2 linked regions of the Bombyx mori genome follow. The protein of the gene in region 1 interacts with the protein of each later gene in a pairwise test. Links are inferred from orthologs where the notes say so. Each region holds a gene or a part of one and is shown on either strand. Other genes may lie near its edges. The genes, in order: 5'-3' exoribonuclease 2 homolog and TAR DNA-binding protein 43.

Evidence for each region.
Region 2: the proteins of 5'-3' exoribonuclease 2 homolog (region 1) and TAR DNA-binding protein 43 interact in binary tests that used the Homo sapiens proteins (3 or more experiments, as listed by UniProt). The link is inferred for Bombyx mori from reciprocal best matches to the Homo sapiens genes XRN2 and TARDBP.

Annotation. Positions count from the first base shown.
Region 1 is NC_085131.1:902,896-906,830, forward strand, and holds the start of 5'-3' exoribonuclease 2 homolog, read left to right. Parts: upstream 1-882; 5' UTR 883-1,003; coding exon 1,004-1,078; intron 1,079-1,664; coding exon 1,665-1,904; intron 1,905-2,182; coding exon 2,183-2,412; intron 2,413-2,925; coding exon 2,926-3,032; intron 3,033-3,650; coding exon 3,651-3,809; intron 3,810-3,935. UniProt on the Homo sapiens protein: Possesses 5'->3' exoribonuclease activity. May promote the termination of transcription by RNA polymerase II.
Region 2 is NC_085116.1:8,096,795-8,100,728, reverse strand, and holds the start of TAR DNA-binding protein 43, read left to right. Parts: upstream 1-868; 5' UTR 869-1,240; coding exon 1,241-2,476; 3' UTR 2,477-3,934. UniProt on the Homo sapiens protein: RNA-binding protein that is involved in various steps of RNA biogenesis and processing.

The sequences.
Region 1 (3,935 bases):
AACTTCATAGCCAGCGTACTGTGATTGCCATGTAGCGCTTACTGGTAGTAGAGTGAATTGTAAGTTTGCATGTGTAAATACTATTATCCTGACTACCCCGAAACCGTCTTATATTCCAGTTTGAAGGAAAAATACTTTCGAGTTTTCGTCGTGTGTCAAGATGGAGCTAATATCACTGATGTACTTTAAAGGTCTATGGCTAATATGCAAGTTGTGATGACTCTGGACTCCTGTGACCATTATAGATAAATAAAAAGTTCAATGAATATTTTAAAAGAACCTGAAAACCCAAGTATACTAGCATGGTTTAATTTTTCTGTATTTATACACTTTAGTAGACGCTACACGGCCAGTAATGTTACTCGTTCAATCCTAGATAAGCGTTTAATTAGCAAAATAAAGCAATTTAAATATCTTTGCTCCTCGCATTACCACCAAAAAGTTTTAACCCGCGCTGTGAATGTAAAACATATTTAAAAAGGTCTTAAAAAGGAAAAATGTTTTCTTAGACCATTTTGAATCTGTATTGTGTATTCGTATTTAAAGTGATCAGTAATATTTAACAAGTATTTTACTAATGATTACGCCTTTTGAGCTTCATTAGAAATTACCTACATAGGAACTTTCAAAATTTTGTGAAGCAAAAAAAAACATTTTCAATACACACAGATTCGGTAGATAAAACTAAAACTCTGTTTTGGACAATTACTATTAGTATGCCTTAACATCGGTGGAAAGAATGAACAAAATTCTCTTTTTATTAAGAAGTGCTCTATCAAGGTCATAGAGTTACTATTGTAGGTACTTATTAACTCCATGATCAAGGTTTAATCTTGTTTCCGAACGAAATAGTGTGTTCTTAGTGCTATCCTGCTTTGTTTGTCAGCTTTCTCTCTCTACTTAAAATGGCACCTGCGTCGATTTGTTTGTGTTGAATACGTGACAAATAAAACACAAAAAACATTTAATCACCATCAATAAAAATTAAGACGAGTGTTACATAATGGGAGTTCCAGCGTTCTTCCGCTGGCTCAGCCGAAAATATCCAAGTGTAATAGTGGAATGTGTTGAACAAAAGGTAAATGAAAAATAACCTAAAAATCGTTATTTACAGTTATTTTGAGGGTCTAGCAAAACAAATATACGTGGTGCCTGTATCGAAAATCACTATAAAATAAGTATTTTAACAAGAAAAGCAATAATTACGCAATGTTGTCGGGCTGTTCTTCGCAAGTCGACCTCTAAAACTGCGCCTTTTTTTGTTTAGTTAAAATGCTCACCTTGTATTACAGTAATGGTATTGGTAACTTCCATCTTGTGATTAAGCTCTAAAGAACCAAATGACGCGCATGACTAAAGTTCTGAAGATTGTTTCACAAGATTGTCAACATTTCCATTCCTATTATTCATTTCTCCATTCTAAGAAAATGTCATCGTTCAGAGTTTTAATTATTCACTCACCACCAAGTGGATGCTATTTTACTTAAGACCTTAATCATTCAATGTAATTACAGATGTCTAGTACACATAAACATCTGTCTCGACCCCACTGGTCACATGTTACAGCCAAGACTCAACATGTTGTCCAGCTGTTGCCATTATTTGTTTCGTCTACTTGTCACGTATAAAGTGGTAGAAAATATATAATAAAATTGACGTTTCAGCCAACCGACGTAGATGGCCAGTTAGTATATGTAGATTCCTCCCTCCCTAATCCAAATGGAGTGGAGTTTGACAATTTATACCTGGACATGAATGGTATCATCCATCCATGCACCCATCCCGAGGATAAACCAGCACCAAAAGATGAGGATGAGATGATGGTTGCCATCTTTGAATGCATTGACAGACTTTTTCGTATTGTGAGGCCTAGGAAACTGTTGTATATGGCTATAGATGGAGTGGTATGTATTAATTTATAAAGTTATTATTAAATGTACATAAGCTGGTTAGAATGCATTACAAAATTATAGCATTTATAGTTGTGATTTATATAATTATGTATTTAAAAGGATGACTAATGAATCAAATCCCAGTCATTAATGTCTATTTGTGTTTCATTAGTAAAATAATTAGCTTTATTGGAACTTTGACTATAGATATTATGACCTAAATTCTAAGGATGAGTAAATAGAAATAAAATAAAAATTTGCAATCAAAATAATTTGAATCTTAATTCAAGGCTCCAAGAGCTAAAATGAACCAGCAACGTTCTCGACGTTTCCGTGCGTCCAAAGAAACCCAAGAGAAGATTGAGGAAGTGGCTCGCATCCGTAATGAACTTCAGGCTAAAGGAGCATACTTACCACCAGAGAGGCCTAAGGAAGCTCACTTTGATTCTAATTGTATCACACCGGGGACACCGTTCATGGACAGACTGAGCAAGTGTCTGCATTATTACATACATGACAGGTAGGGATTCTTTACTTATATCCATGCGACTTCTGCCAGCAACTTTGCGTTTTTTATTTACTGCTTCAGGATAACAAGCTAGATCCAATTGGTATTAAGTGGCAACTGGAGTCTGTTAACACAATATTGCCACACAACCTTCAAAATATGAGGTCTAAGACTAATTTTTATAATAATGAATGTCCAAAGTTTGATCCCGAGGGACAGTCATGAAGGTGAAACACTTCACCATGCTGTCGGTGCACCTTGGGTGATTTTTGGCTCATTCAAGGTTAAATTAATATTGTCGAACAAATTTTTTATTAATTTTAACAGACATGCTCTGTCTACTGCCTAAAACACTAGGACTTTAGCCTATTTCAGACGTACACATTGATGAAAAGTACCGCTTAGATAAAAAATCTGCATTGTGATAGGAAGGCTCACAAAATGCTCTGCCACCTATGATGTTGGACAAAATGTGCTTGTGGAGAACTTGTCCTGTATAATTTCAAAATATTGTTAATTTTTTAGATTAAATAATGACCCCGGATGGAAGGGCATTAAGGTTATATTATCTGATGCAAATGTTCCTGGGGAAGGAGAACATAAGATTATGGACTACATTAGGAGACAAAGAGGTTAGTTATCGTTTATTAGTGGAGGTTTCTTTTGTATACAGGATTGAACAAGCTCTCCTGCTGTTCATTGGTTACTGGAGCCCAGACTAGCACACATTATTGCTTTGCAGCAGAAGTACGGTGATTGTACCTAATCATCAGGGCGCACAAGACAATTTAACCGTCAGATTTTGAGTAAACTGTAATGTAATAAACCTCAATTTTACAGTAATAATTGACATTATTAATTAAATTGATATTACTTTATTTTTGAAATGGACAGACTTTTCACAGCCCATTTGATATTGAGTCTGTTTGTTGAGTTATCTCACTACAGATATCTGAACCTTAATGTTCTCACTAACCGTGAGACACTCTGAAAATCTCAATGATAATGTATAAAAGCTGTATCACCGATTGACCCAGAACATTTGGGAGTTATGTGGCAAAATAAACAGAACATAAACCTGTAGGTGATTTAACTCATAACTATTTTGTTTGTTACAATGAAATGTGCATAGTGTATTTTGATGTTTCTATGCTTAAAATTTGAATTAACCTTGAATTAATCCAATAGATGACATACTATTTATCAGACTAACTTTACAACCTAAGAAAACTCTATAATCCCTTCAACAGCGCAACCAGACCACGACCCAAACACTCAGCATGTTTTGTGCGGTGCTGATGCTGATTTAATCATGCTGGGTCTGGCCACTCACGAGCCAAACTTCACTATCATCCGTGAGGAATTCAAGCCTAATAAACCGAGACCCTGTGATGTTTGCGGGCAACTTGGTTAGTAGAAAATCTTCTTTCTAGATCAATTATATATGTATGTAATATATAATATTTAATATACAGGGTGCTCCTAAATAATATAATATAAATAGGTAATGTAAATCAATTTCCATTATTAAGCAA
Region 2 (3,934 bases), on another chromosome or scaffold:
GCATCTTTGAGATTACGGTGTCATATGCTGCGCTAACCTAACTGATTTGAATGCGAATTCCTCCGACATTTCGAACTCCAACACTCAGACCAACTACTTCTATTTGACTCCATATAGAACTGGCCCGTTCGCATAGGTGAAATCCCATTTTCACGGATCGTTCTGAACCTCTGGATCTGCGGAGGGTCTTCGGTTCTCTCTGTATTTTGTACCGCATGTTCCATGGGGAGTGCTCTGAGGAATTAATTCAGATGATTCCAACATCTCGGGTTTACCATCGCACCGCCCACCAGTGGTGTTCATAGTTCATAGTACCTAGAACCACTGTGTTCATCCACAAAGCGCTTCCAGAGATCTTTTTTGCCATGTACCATCCGGCTTTGGAATGAGCTCCCCTCTATGAACGCTATAACATGTCCTTCTTCAAACGAAGCTTGTGGAGAATATTTAATGGTAGGCAGCGGCTTGGCTCTCCCCTTAGCATTGTTGACGTCCATGAGCGACGGTAACTCTACTCACCATCAGGTAAGCTTGTCTGCCTATCCGGGCAATTAAAAAAAAATCGGACTCTGTGGAATACATTACCTTTGATATAATCCCCCAAAAAGAAATACTAAGTCGTTAAATATAATTTAAATAGAGGTCAAGCTGCTAATCCTGCCCTGAAGTCTGAAGTTATATACCTCCGTATTTTTTAAAATATTTTTTGCCCTTTTTTAAAATTATTTTCAAATTGAATCATTCTTAGGACAGGCAAAGAGGACATGTACAGACTTATGTTGTAACAAAGTCTGCGTATAATAACAATGCAACTGCAATACAAATGCATCGTGTTTTGTGTGAAATCTAAAATACAACTCTTCACTTCGTTTTCAATCTTCGAGTAGGACGCACAGTGTCTAGATTTTTGTATTGCTATGACCAAAAAAAAACAAAGTATGTGAGTGATGTAAAATGTCAATTTTAGAAAGTTGTCTATTACTATACTCCAACTTCTCAATATTGATACTTCCATGCCCTGAAAATCACTTTGATATTTTCTAAATTTATTGTTCAAAACCTTTTGGTTAACATATGTTTTCAACCTGCAAATTGCAATGGGTTCGTAACCCGTAGGTGACGTTTAATTAAATTTTATTTATTTTAGATGAAGTTAAATTATACAATTTTCTAGTAATAAGTATAGTTATTGTGTTAATTTTCATCAGATTTTAACTATATTGTTCATGAAGAATAAATAATGTCTTTCGAGTATTTGCCCGTTGCTGAAGACGAAAATGAAGAACCCATAGAACTGCCTATCGAAGAAGATGGAGCTTTGATGCTATCGACTGTGTCTGCACAGTTTCCAGGTTGCTGCGGATTGAAATATCGACACCCTGAAACGAAAACCATCAGGGGAATTCGACTAAGAGATGGTCGACTATATCCTCCTCCAGAAGGATGGGGAAATTATTTGTATATATGTAGTTTTCCTAAAGAAAATAAACGCAAACTTGGTGAAAATTCCGAGTCCACAATTATGAGACATAAAAGAAATGACACCTTATGTTCGGACCTGATAGTTTTGGGACTCCCTTGGAAAGCCACAGAGCAGACAGTGCGAGAATATTTTGAAAAATTTGGTGAAGTATTAATGGCTCAGCTGAAAAGAGACCCAAAAACGGGAATGTCTAAAGGTTTCGCTTTTATTCGATTTGCATCTTATACATCCCAAATGAGAGTTCTTGCTCAAAGGCACATGATTGATGGGAGGTGGTGTGATGTAAGGATACCAAATTCCAAAGAAGGATCTATACCATCTATGCCTTGTAAAGTTTTTGTTGGCCGCTGTACTGAAGAATTATCTGCCAATGACTTGAGAGAGTATTTTTCTCAATTTGGAGAAGTTACTGATGTGTTCATCCCAAAACCATTTAGGGCATTCAGTTTTATAACATTTCTTGACCCAGAAGTTGCGCAGAGTCTATGTGGGCAAGACCATATAATAAAAGGTGTTTCTGTTAATGTTTCGAATGCATCTCCAAAGCAAAACAAAAGTGGTACAAACCAACGTGCCATGCCTAGTAGAAGTTATGATGAAGGTCATCCACACAATGTGTCTAATAATAATTCTTGGAGCAACCGAAACATGGATATGGTTAATATGCAAGCACTTGGTATGTCTGGTCAACATGGACAAACAGCTGTAGCTGGTGGTGGAGGACAAGCACAAGGTGGCAGTATGCCTATAGGAATGGGAGGACTACCTGTAAATCAAGCTTTAGTAGCAGCAGCTCTTAACCAGGCAGCTGGTTGGGGTCTTATCAACAACATCCCTTCAGGTGCATCAGAACAAGGTGCCTTTGCTGGTCCAGCATCATCGGCACCTCCAGCACCACCAAACTTCCTGTCTTGGATGCAACAAGGTAATTCAGCACAAGGACCCTCTAGTCAGTGGGGACAAAGACATCAGTCCCAAGGCCACTCTGTCTGATCAATATTTCGACAAGCTCACAATAATCTCTGTGATTGTAGCAACATTTTTTAGATAAATAGTACTTGTTTTTCTCTTCAGTAAAAGATGGGTTGTTGTTGGTGGCAAGTGGTTAACCTAAAAATTTGCTAATGATGTTATTTATTTATGGAATTGCTTGTTTTCAATTTTGTTCTTATGAATTTTATCCTAGATAGATAAAATTATGCACCATAACAAAACATAACACTTTACAAGCAGTTTCTGTATAAAAATTATGTAATACTTGTATCATATGTTTTAGATTAAGATTGTTGTTGTGCTTTTATTTGTCATTTCATATTACTACTTAAAAATACTAATAAATATCGACATAACTAATTAGAGCTGAGATGTAATCAACAGATTCCTCAACTTTGAGGTAGATTTTTGTAATTTTTACATTGTCATGTTTAGGGCCGTCCGTCCATAAATGAGATAATGGTAGGTAAAGTAATATAACCATCTAAGTACAAAATTAACAGTAACTTCCCTTAATAAATCTAAGAACAGAATTTACATTAAAATGATGTTTTGAAAAATATTCACATCTTTATGACTATACAATTACAATTTAATTTAAAACACGGCAATTCTGTTCTCTATGACAAATAATATTTATCAGCAAGTTTGGATTTGTTTGAATTCATTCTTACTTTGTACACTAATAGTACCATAGATGTACAGATAATATCATAATTACAATGTAACTTGCAATCACTAATCTGAAATCTCATACCATTTGTAAGAGCTAGCTAGACCTTACATTAGGAAATACAAATGGATATGAAAAAGTTACTGCAAAATTACCTAAATCCTATTATAATTTATAAAAAAAAATTGCTGATTATAAACAAGTCCTATTTTAGAAAATGCAGGTGTTACTTTTATCTCTATCCCATATTTTCAAGGACAATAACAAGAACTCAAACTGTTACATAATTATAATATATAAAAGCCTATAAAAATGTTGAAATTGAATAAATGTCTATTTTTAAATCTATTTGATGCTAATCATACTTAAGAACAGTCACAATCGAGATGAAAATATGTTAAAATGTGGACTATAAAATTTCGTTAAAATTAGCATTCAATTTATATGTACAATGATATAAAATATACACACTTTGGCAAAAAAAAATGTATATAGGATAGATAGTATGATAAATGTTATTTTGAAATTAGCGATATATGTATATCATATCACATATTGTGCTACAGTCAATTTAATCCAACAATTTGCCTTATTACAAAAATAGATACTCTGTTTGAAAGTTTATTAGATAGTATACAAGTGTTGTTATATTGAAAAATACATTTAAAAAAATAGTATACTCATTCATTTTAAAAATATAAAGCTAAATAAGATAAAAATCTGTGCCTCATAACCAACTAAACAAAATAAAAGTTTGTAGATAGTTTAATAATTGTTATTTTTTT